Linked DNA regions of Coturnix japonica. The protein of the gene in region 1 purifies or fractionates together with the protein of each later gene. This does not show direct contact. Links are inferred from orthologs where the notes say so. Each region holds a gene or a part of one and is shown in the gene's direction. Other genes may lie near its edges.

What was found. Proteins that work in one complex are often made in the same cells at the same time.
Region 2: the proteins of PTPN7 (region 1) and MAPK14 purify together in Homo sapiens (affinity purification with mass spectrometry; 3 studies listed by BioGRID and IntAct, with this or other methods). This does not show direct contact. The link is inferred for Coturnix japonica from reciprocal best matches to the Homo sapiens genes PTPN7 and MAPK14.

Annotation. Positions count from the first base shown.
Region 1 is NC_029541.1:733,857-737,248, reverse strand, and holds the end of PTPN7 (tyrosine-protein phosphatase non-receptor type 7), read left to right. Parts: intron 1-545; coding exon 546-656; intron 657-1,030; coding exon 1,031-1,188; intron 1,189-1,534; coding exon 1,535-1,648; intron 1,649-2,049; coding exon 2,050-2,143; 3' UTR 2,144-2,774; downstream 2,775-3,392. UniProt on the Homo sapiens protein: Protein phosphatase that acts preferentially on tyrosine-phosphorylated MAPK1. Plays a role in the regulation of T and B-lymphocyte development and signal transduction.
Region 2 is NC_029541.1:528,271-531,926, forward strand, and holds part of MAPK14 (mitogen-activated protein kinase 14), read left to right. Parts: intron 1-180; coding exon 181-310; intron 311-3,295; coding exon 3,296-3,354; intron 3,355-3,656. UniProt on the Homo sapiens protein: Serine/threonine kinase which acts as an essential component of the MAP kinase signal transduction pathway.

The DNA of each region.
Region 1 (3,392 bases):
GGACCCCATCTAGCAAAGCCTCCTCTTCTCCATCAACTTCACTTGCTCTGGATGTGCTTTGCTAGATGAATAATAGGATAAAAAGAAACAGGGCAGCCTCTGGGAGCTCCCAGATACAGATCCAGGTGATGGGAACTAGCAGCTGTGCCCTGTGTGGTGGCTGCACTGCACCTTGCTGGGATTGCTGGCTCCATGCTCCAGGAACAGTGGGAGCTCACACACTCACCTGGCCCTATTTTTTGCCCCATTGCTCCCTGGCTGCTGGAGCATCCCTCAGGGCGTTTACCTGCACCTTTCACCTGGATCTAGCAGGACATGGATGGGCAAAGGTGTAGCTCCCCAGGGGCTGAAAATCACATGGCAGGGTGTGGGTAAAGTGTGCAGGGGAAGCAAGTGTTGGAAGCGGGATCTGTCCTTCCTTATCTTCCCTTTTATCAGTCCACATCCACCTTCCTCGCTTCTCCAGACCTCACAAAAGCAATGTCCAAAGGATAGCTTAGACCGCAGAGGGTGCCCAGAGCACAAATACTGCTTTCTTCCTGCAGAAATGTGTCCACTATTGGCCTGAGAAGGAAGGCACCTACGGCCCCTTCACCATCCGTGTGCAGGGGATTAACGAGTGTGCAGAGTACGTGGTCCGCAATCTGTCCATCCAGGTGGGTCCAAGCCCCGTCCTGGGGTCAGCAGGGTATTCAGCACCTGGTGGAAACCTGAAATGCCCAGGCTCTGTAGGAGGAGGAATCTGCAGAGCTCTGTCTGCTCAATGAGGTTTGCATGAAACAAGACTTGTGCAGGATGAGCCTTGGGTGTCAGCATGGAAATTAAGTGGGGCTCCTGGGCATGACTGGAACTCTCCTCAGTACATCACTCAGACACCCAAAAGTGTCCCTTGCTCCCTGGGTCTCTGGTAAAGACTCAATGAGTCAAGGAGGAGAGCAGATGAGGTGGGCACAGGCTGGGCACACAGGATGGGAACATCTCCATCTGACCCCATCTCATCTTTATTTCTCTTTCTTCTGTGCTGGAAAAGCTGGAAGGTGAATGCCGCCACATCAAACACATCCTCTTCCCTTCGTGGCCAGACCAGCAGACACCTGAGTCAGCCAAGCCCCTGCTGCACTTGGTGTCCAAAGTGGAAGAGACTCTGCAGGCTGCAGCCAGCTTGGGGCCCATTGTTGTGCACTGCAGGTAAGTGCTCAGCCCTCACCCCTGCTCCCCAGCTTGGGCTCACACCCATGATCCATTCTCCATGCAGAAATCCCAGGGCACAGCAAACCCCCAGCAGGTGTCCCCCAGCATAGGACAGAGGCACAGACTGGTTTTGTGCTTCCAGAGTGGTTGCAGGTGGGCTGAGCAGTATGGCAAGAAGCACTTGTGGTGGCAGAATGGGGCTAGCCTGAGAAAGCTGGGACTGGGACCTCTGCATCCCTATAGGGATAAATCAGGGTAGCAAAGCAGCCAAGGAGCACACCCAGCTCAGAAGGCCTAAGGTCCAGGCGCTGTGGGTGCTCAGCACAGCTGTGTCCATCTGCAGTGCAGGCATTGGTCGGACGGGCTGCTTCATTGCTACCAGGATTGGGTGCCAGCAGCTGAAGGACAAGGGAGATGTGGACATCCTGGGAATCGTGTGCCGCCTCCGCATTGACAGGTTGGTGCTCAGGCAGGTGTCCCTGGAGGATGCTGCTGGATGCAGGAGGGATGCGGGAGGTTACAGGGATGAGCATCCCAAGGAGGTGTGGAGGTGATTTGTGGTAGAAAATGGAAGGCTTTCTGAAAGATGGAGATGTGGGGACAACAAAGGATTACCCAGTGCTGGATTGGTTTTGTTGTCAGGGTTATTTTAGCTCTGGGAACCCAAAGTCATGAAGGAGAGCAGCCCCGAACCCATCAGCTGTTGTGCTCCTTCCAGCTCAGCCACTGACCTCTGAAACATGGCCAGACACTCTTTGAGGAGCTCTGGGTGCATAAAGACGGGGTGGGTGACACAGGAATGTCTGTGCCATGGGAGCAGGGCTGGGGTTTTGGTGAGTGTCAGCATTTCCTTTGCAGAGGCGGGATGATCCAGACCAGTGAGCAGTACCAGTTTCTCCATCACACACTAGCCCTGTATGCTTCCCAGCTGCCAGATGCAGGAGGCCATTAGCACGGGGCTCCACCGCTTGCTGCCTCGCTCTGAACTCCCTCAGTGCCAAACCTGGGGACAACTCTGCTAAATCTGCTCCTGCTGCACCCAGCCATAAGCCTGAGCCTCCCAGAGGCTGAGCAAAGCCATTGGGATTGCGGCCCCATGACCCTCAGGGCAATGAGAGTTTGGGGTTTGCACAAGGCACGCAGCAGGATGCACTACGCAGAAGAGGACTGATGCTGAGCAGTCTGCCTGCTAGAAATCAACAGAGCTTTTCCTCCAGCTGCACATCATCTGTGGGCAGAAGCTGGCACACACGGGGCTCACTCCCAGCACACTCCTCGATGCTCTTCTTGCTAAAGACGCACCTGGAGGATTTATTCCAAAGCTGCATTGCTGGTTGCCTTCATTACATGGCCTGCTTTCCTCTCTGCCTTCAGCCATTGCCTTCCCACCTGCCTTAAAGTAGGGGATACTCTTAAGTGTGTCTGCACTTTTGCAAGCACTGTGCTCCAAGCTGTAACCCACACGAGGGTGGGGGGGTTGTTTTCTTGAGGTTGGTTTTTTTTCCTGTTGGAATCAGAGCAAAATAATACACCCATTTTGTTGTTTCTTTTTCACTGTGTAAATAGAAATGTTTCATCCTTAATTCTGCCATTCTCCTGTCATCTCAGCAGCCCAGGAAGAGAGGGAAGCCCTCTGTGTGTGTCCCCACAGTCTCTCTGCATCCTTGCAGTTTTCAGGTGGTGGCCATGAGCTAACAAAGCAGAGCAAACCACACTAAGGCCTTTCCTCGCACTCGCATCCAGCAGGACGTGCAACTCGTCTCATGCTTCCAGATGCCTATCAAGGAGAGAGCCGTCAGGGCAGGAGCTGTACAAAGGTTCTCCCAAGACAGGCAGAGACCCAGTAGCTGGCGAGGGGGGAGGGGATGTTGTAACCCCTCTCAGATTTCCTATCGGGGCTGGGAGTTTTGCCAGATGAGCTCTCTGATGCTGATCACAATCGGTTCAGCAGTTTCCTTGTCTTTCAATCTCAATTTCTACCCACTCAATCTGTTCAAGGCACTTATCAGCCATTACCACGGCACTATCTGGGTATCTCAGTCCTCCCTGTATTTATTCCCCGTGCACTCCTTGGGGCCATGCTGAGCTATTGCTGTGTTATTGCGAAATGCCATCCCATGGCTCCTGCAATGTCAGGGGCAAAGTGAAGTGCTCCATCTGGTCTGGCTACATCAGGGTATGTCCTGGGAAACTGTGGCATG
Region 2 (3,656 bases), about 210 kb from region 1:
TGTGGGAATTTGCAGCCAGGTTGCAGGCCAGGAAGCCTGGATGTTATTGGTGGTGGAGAGGGAGAAATGGAATCGGCTGTGTGACTCAGTGCCTGCGCAGCCTCTATTTGTAGTTGCTAAATGGATTTGAGGGTGTTTATAAGTGATTCATTTTGACTATTTGATTACTCTTTGTTGTAGTTCTGCCTTTGACACAAAAACTGGGTTGCGAGTGGCTGTAAAGAAGCTGTCCCGACCATTTCAGTCTATCATCCATGCCAAAAGGACCTACCGAGAGCTACGGCTACTGAAGCACATGAAACATGAAAATGTAAGTAGAAGGAGATTATATGAGAAGCTGGGCTACCTGGTGTGATTGCATTCCAGGCTGATTGCACAGGTTTTTCAGATAGTAAGTACATAGCTTGCAGTAGACAGTGAATCGTGATGGAAGGCTTTCTTTCTTGCTTTGTGTCATCATGTCAGAAAGGGTTGGAGCAGTTGTTCACTAGATTCCTGTAGATGAACAGGAATAAAAAAGGGGAGGGGAAGATATCAGACATCTGTTCTTGTAAGCCATCCATTTCAACAACACAGACCATGAATGCTTATACTAAGCTATGCTATATGCTGTCTAATCATTTTTTTCTGTTTAACTTCCATTTGCTGTGGAAACCACTTGAGCAGTTCTTTGTGTTTGTGGCATTAACACACTGGTATATTTATATCGCATGCTGTTCAGAGAAAATATTGCCTGCAATTGAGCAAAAATTATCTTGCCTTCTTTAGAGCTGTCAACATCAAGAGAAAAGGAAGGCTCTTAATTTTTGTACAAGTGAACTCCAATGTAGCAGAAGGGAAATACTGATTTAGAAGTGGACTGAGCAAGCCTAGTGTTTTTAACGCAACAAGCAAGCCCAATTTTGATGGGAGCTTCTCCCTGAATGGTCGGATCAGAACTTCTTTTGTGGCAGTGGTGGTTTTGTGCCGTGGCTTCTTTCTGCCACAGCAAGCAGATGGTATTGCTTGAATCTTGTTTGTGTTGACAGTGTGGCTGATGTAATTGGACCTTTTGGTGCACGCGCAGCCTGAACTCAGCAGTACTTCCTCAGTGCCTCTATGTGATGCTGTTATCTGAGTAACAGAGGCAGCCATCCATCGATCCTGCTTAATATCCATCCCCCTGAGGTTTTTTTTTTTCTCTACCTTTTCTCATACCAGAAATATATTCAAAGCTTTGCTCTGGAACTGTTTGGAGAATGTGTTTAGATGTATCTCTGCATCAGCACATTGATCCATTCTGTCTGAGCTAATTGGGTTAGATTTCTATGATTCTATGGTTCCACAGTGGGAATTAGCCTGGTGCTACAGCAGCTCTGTGTCTGGTGTTCATTAATACTTTTGAATAGTGTCGTGAAGTGCATGTGTAGCTTTGAGAGTAGGAGATAAGATTATATTGTTAGAATTTTTTTGTATATAGAAGTGTTTACTGTCAGTTCATCATACTGCTGTCTGTGGGATTTTTATCTGGGTGTGGTTTAAAATCTTGCAGATGTGAAGATGCTCAGAGCCAGTTCAGGTAGGCTGGTTAGTTCAAGCGAGCTGTCTATTCAGATCTCAGTTTGGAAGTAAAATACCCTGCTTTACATGACGTAGAACACTTCAGCAAATGTGGTAGGTACAATGTTTCAAGGATCTTGAGCAGGGATGGTTTTCTGTTCTATATCTAGACTGATTGTGTTGATCTTGAACAAATAAATCGGCCTGTGGAGCAGTCAAGCATGGTTCTGTTATATGTTCAGGCTCCAGGAGGCCTCATTAGCTTACATAAGGCAGAATACTGAGCAGGTGTGAGAGTCAACTTTAGTGTTGTATGAAGAAGTTAACAACCTAAAATTGAAGGGGAGTGCAGAAATTCAGGAGCTGATTCTTGGTCTGGGGATGACCAGTATGGTTAGAACTGTCAGTGTTGTGCTACAGAGTAATTGCATTTGTGTGTGAAACTAGTCAGTGAGAAATATATGGATAGTTCAGTAGTGTGCTTTACACTGTAGCAAGATGGAAATGGTAAGGGAGGAAATGGAAATCTTGGTAACAAGGTCAGTTTTTGGTTTTTTTTTACTGCTAAACTGGGAGGATAATGTTGCATAATTTTTGTAAACGTTGGCATGGAGAAGTCCACAGAGCAAAGAAAGCATAGGAGTTATTTTGAAGCATGGATGTTAATGGTAAAAGGTTGATTTTGTCATCCTTAACAATTGCAATTGATGGTATTAATATGTGCTGAAAGGGAACGTTGGCATCCAACACTTTGTTTAATATGTATGTTTGAACCACTGCTGAAGTTACTGAAATGTGTGTGATGCGAATGAATCCAAGGCAGGTGAGATGCAAGCCTAAAATAGGAGGAAGGAGTCTGTACCTTTATTTCATAATCCTAAGTAATGCTGTGCTGTTAAGAGAAGGATAATTTTTAAAAGCAAATCTCAGTGGAAATTCAAACAATTTTATGGACCAGATGGATTGTTTTCCAAATGAAATGTCCATGACCTATTCCTTATTGCCTACAGAGTGATGAGGTATAATTGTGCATTTCCATGAGGTAACACATACGTTCCCTTTTGCTCTCCACTGCTGGAACAGCTTAGCTGTGAAAATGAGGGGTAGAGTGGAGACTCTTAGGGCAGCAGATATAAATGGCAGTGTGAAGCTCTCAGCTCTTAGTGAAATTTGGCTCTGTGATGCAGCATGCTGTTTTTGAGACTCATTTCACTTCTTATTTTCCAGTGTAGACATTATTTGTTGCTTTCAGCAGAGATTATTGGTGGTTTCCTTCCTCTAGCTATTACTCAGTGCGAGTGAAAAAAAGTCTCCTGCTGCTGATCTAGTATATAGTCAACAGCACAACTAAGAACCTAGCAGGAAGCAAACTGATTTCTGCCTCGTGTTTGCTCATCCATTTATTTACTCACCAAACTTCAGCTGGGTTTTAAATAAGGTATTTTTAACCAGTGCTGACACTTGCCTTTTATTGCCTTGGCTTGCTGTGGCTCCTGCTTGATGTTGTAAGTAGATGGTTGGTGTAAAAGACAGCTGTATATTTTGACTATCTTTTTTTTTTTTTTTTTTTTACTTAGTATTTGAATGCTTGTTTCTGACCTTGTACAAATACTCATTTGCTTACATCCAAATGATTCATATAGTTGGAAATGAAACATCTGTTGGAAGGAGTAGTTTCTGTTCCACAAAGGACCTTACTGACTGTATCATTCAGATGATTAATGTTTTTCGTGACTTTTTCACTTTGTTTTTCCAGGTGATCGGCTTGCTGGATGTGTTCACCCCTGCCAAGTCTCTGGAAGAATTCAATGATGTGTAGGTAACTTCTCTGGAGATTGCAAGAAAAGTCTTTTGCATCTCCCTTCCTTTCCCAGGCTATTGTAGGAATTTTGCTGCCTTGATTTGTCATTATTTTGAATCAGCTGTGAAATTCAGCACAAATTACTGGGATGCCCCATGCTAATGGACTCTTCCAGCTTGTTTTATTGGCCAGTGCTGTGGGAATTAGCGCACTGATCTGCTACTTTATTTAATGAGCTATGATTTATATTTTATTCAGTAAAATGCTCAGGAGGCTGCTGTGCTACAGGAGCTTTGTAAGAAATTCTTATGCTAAT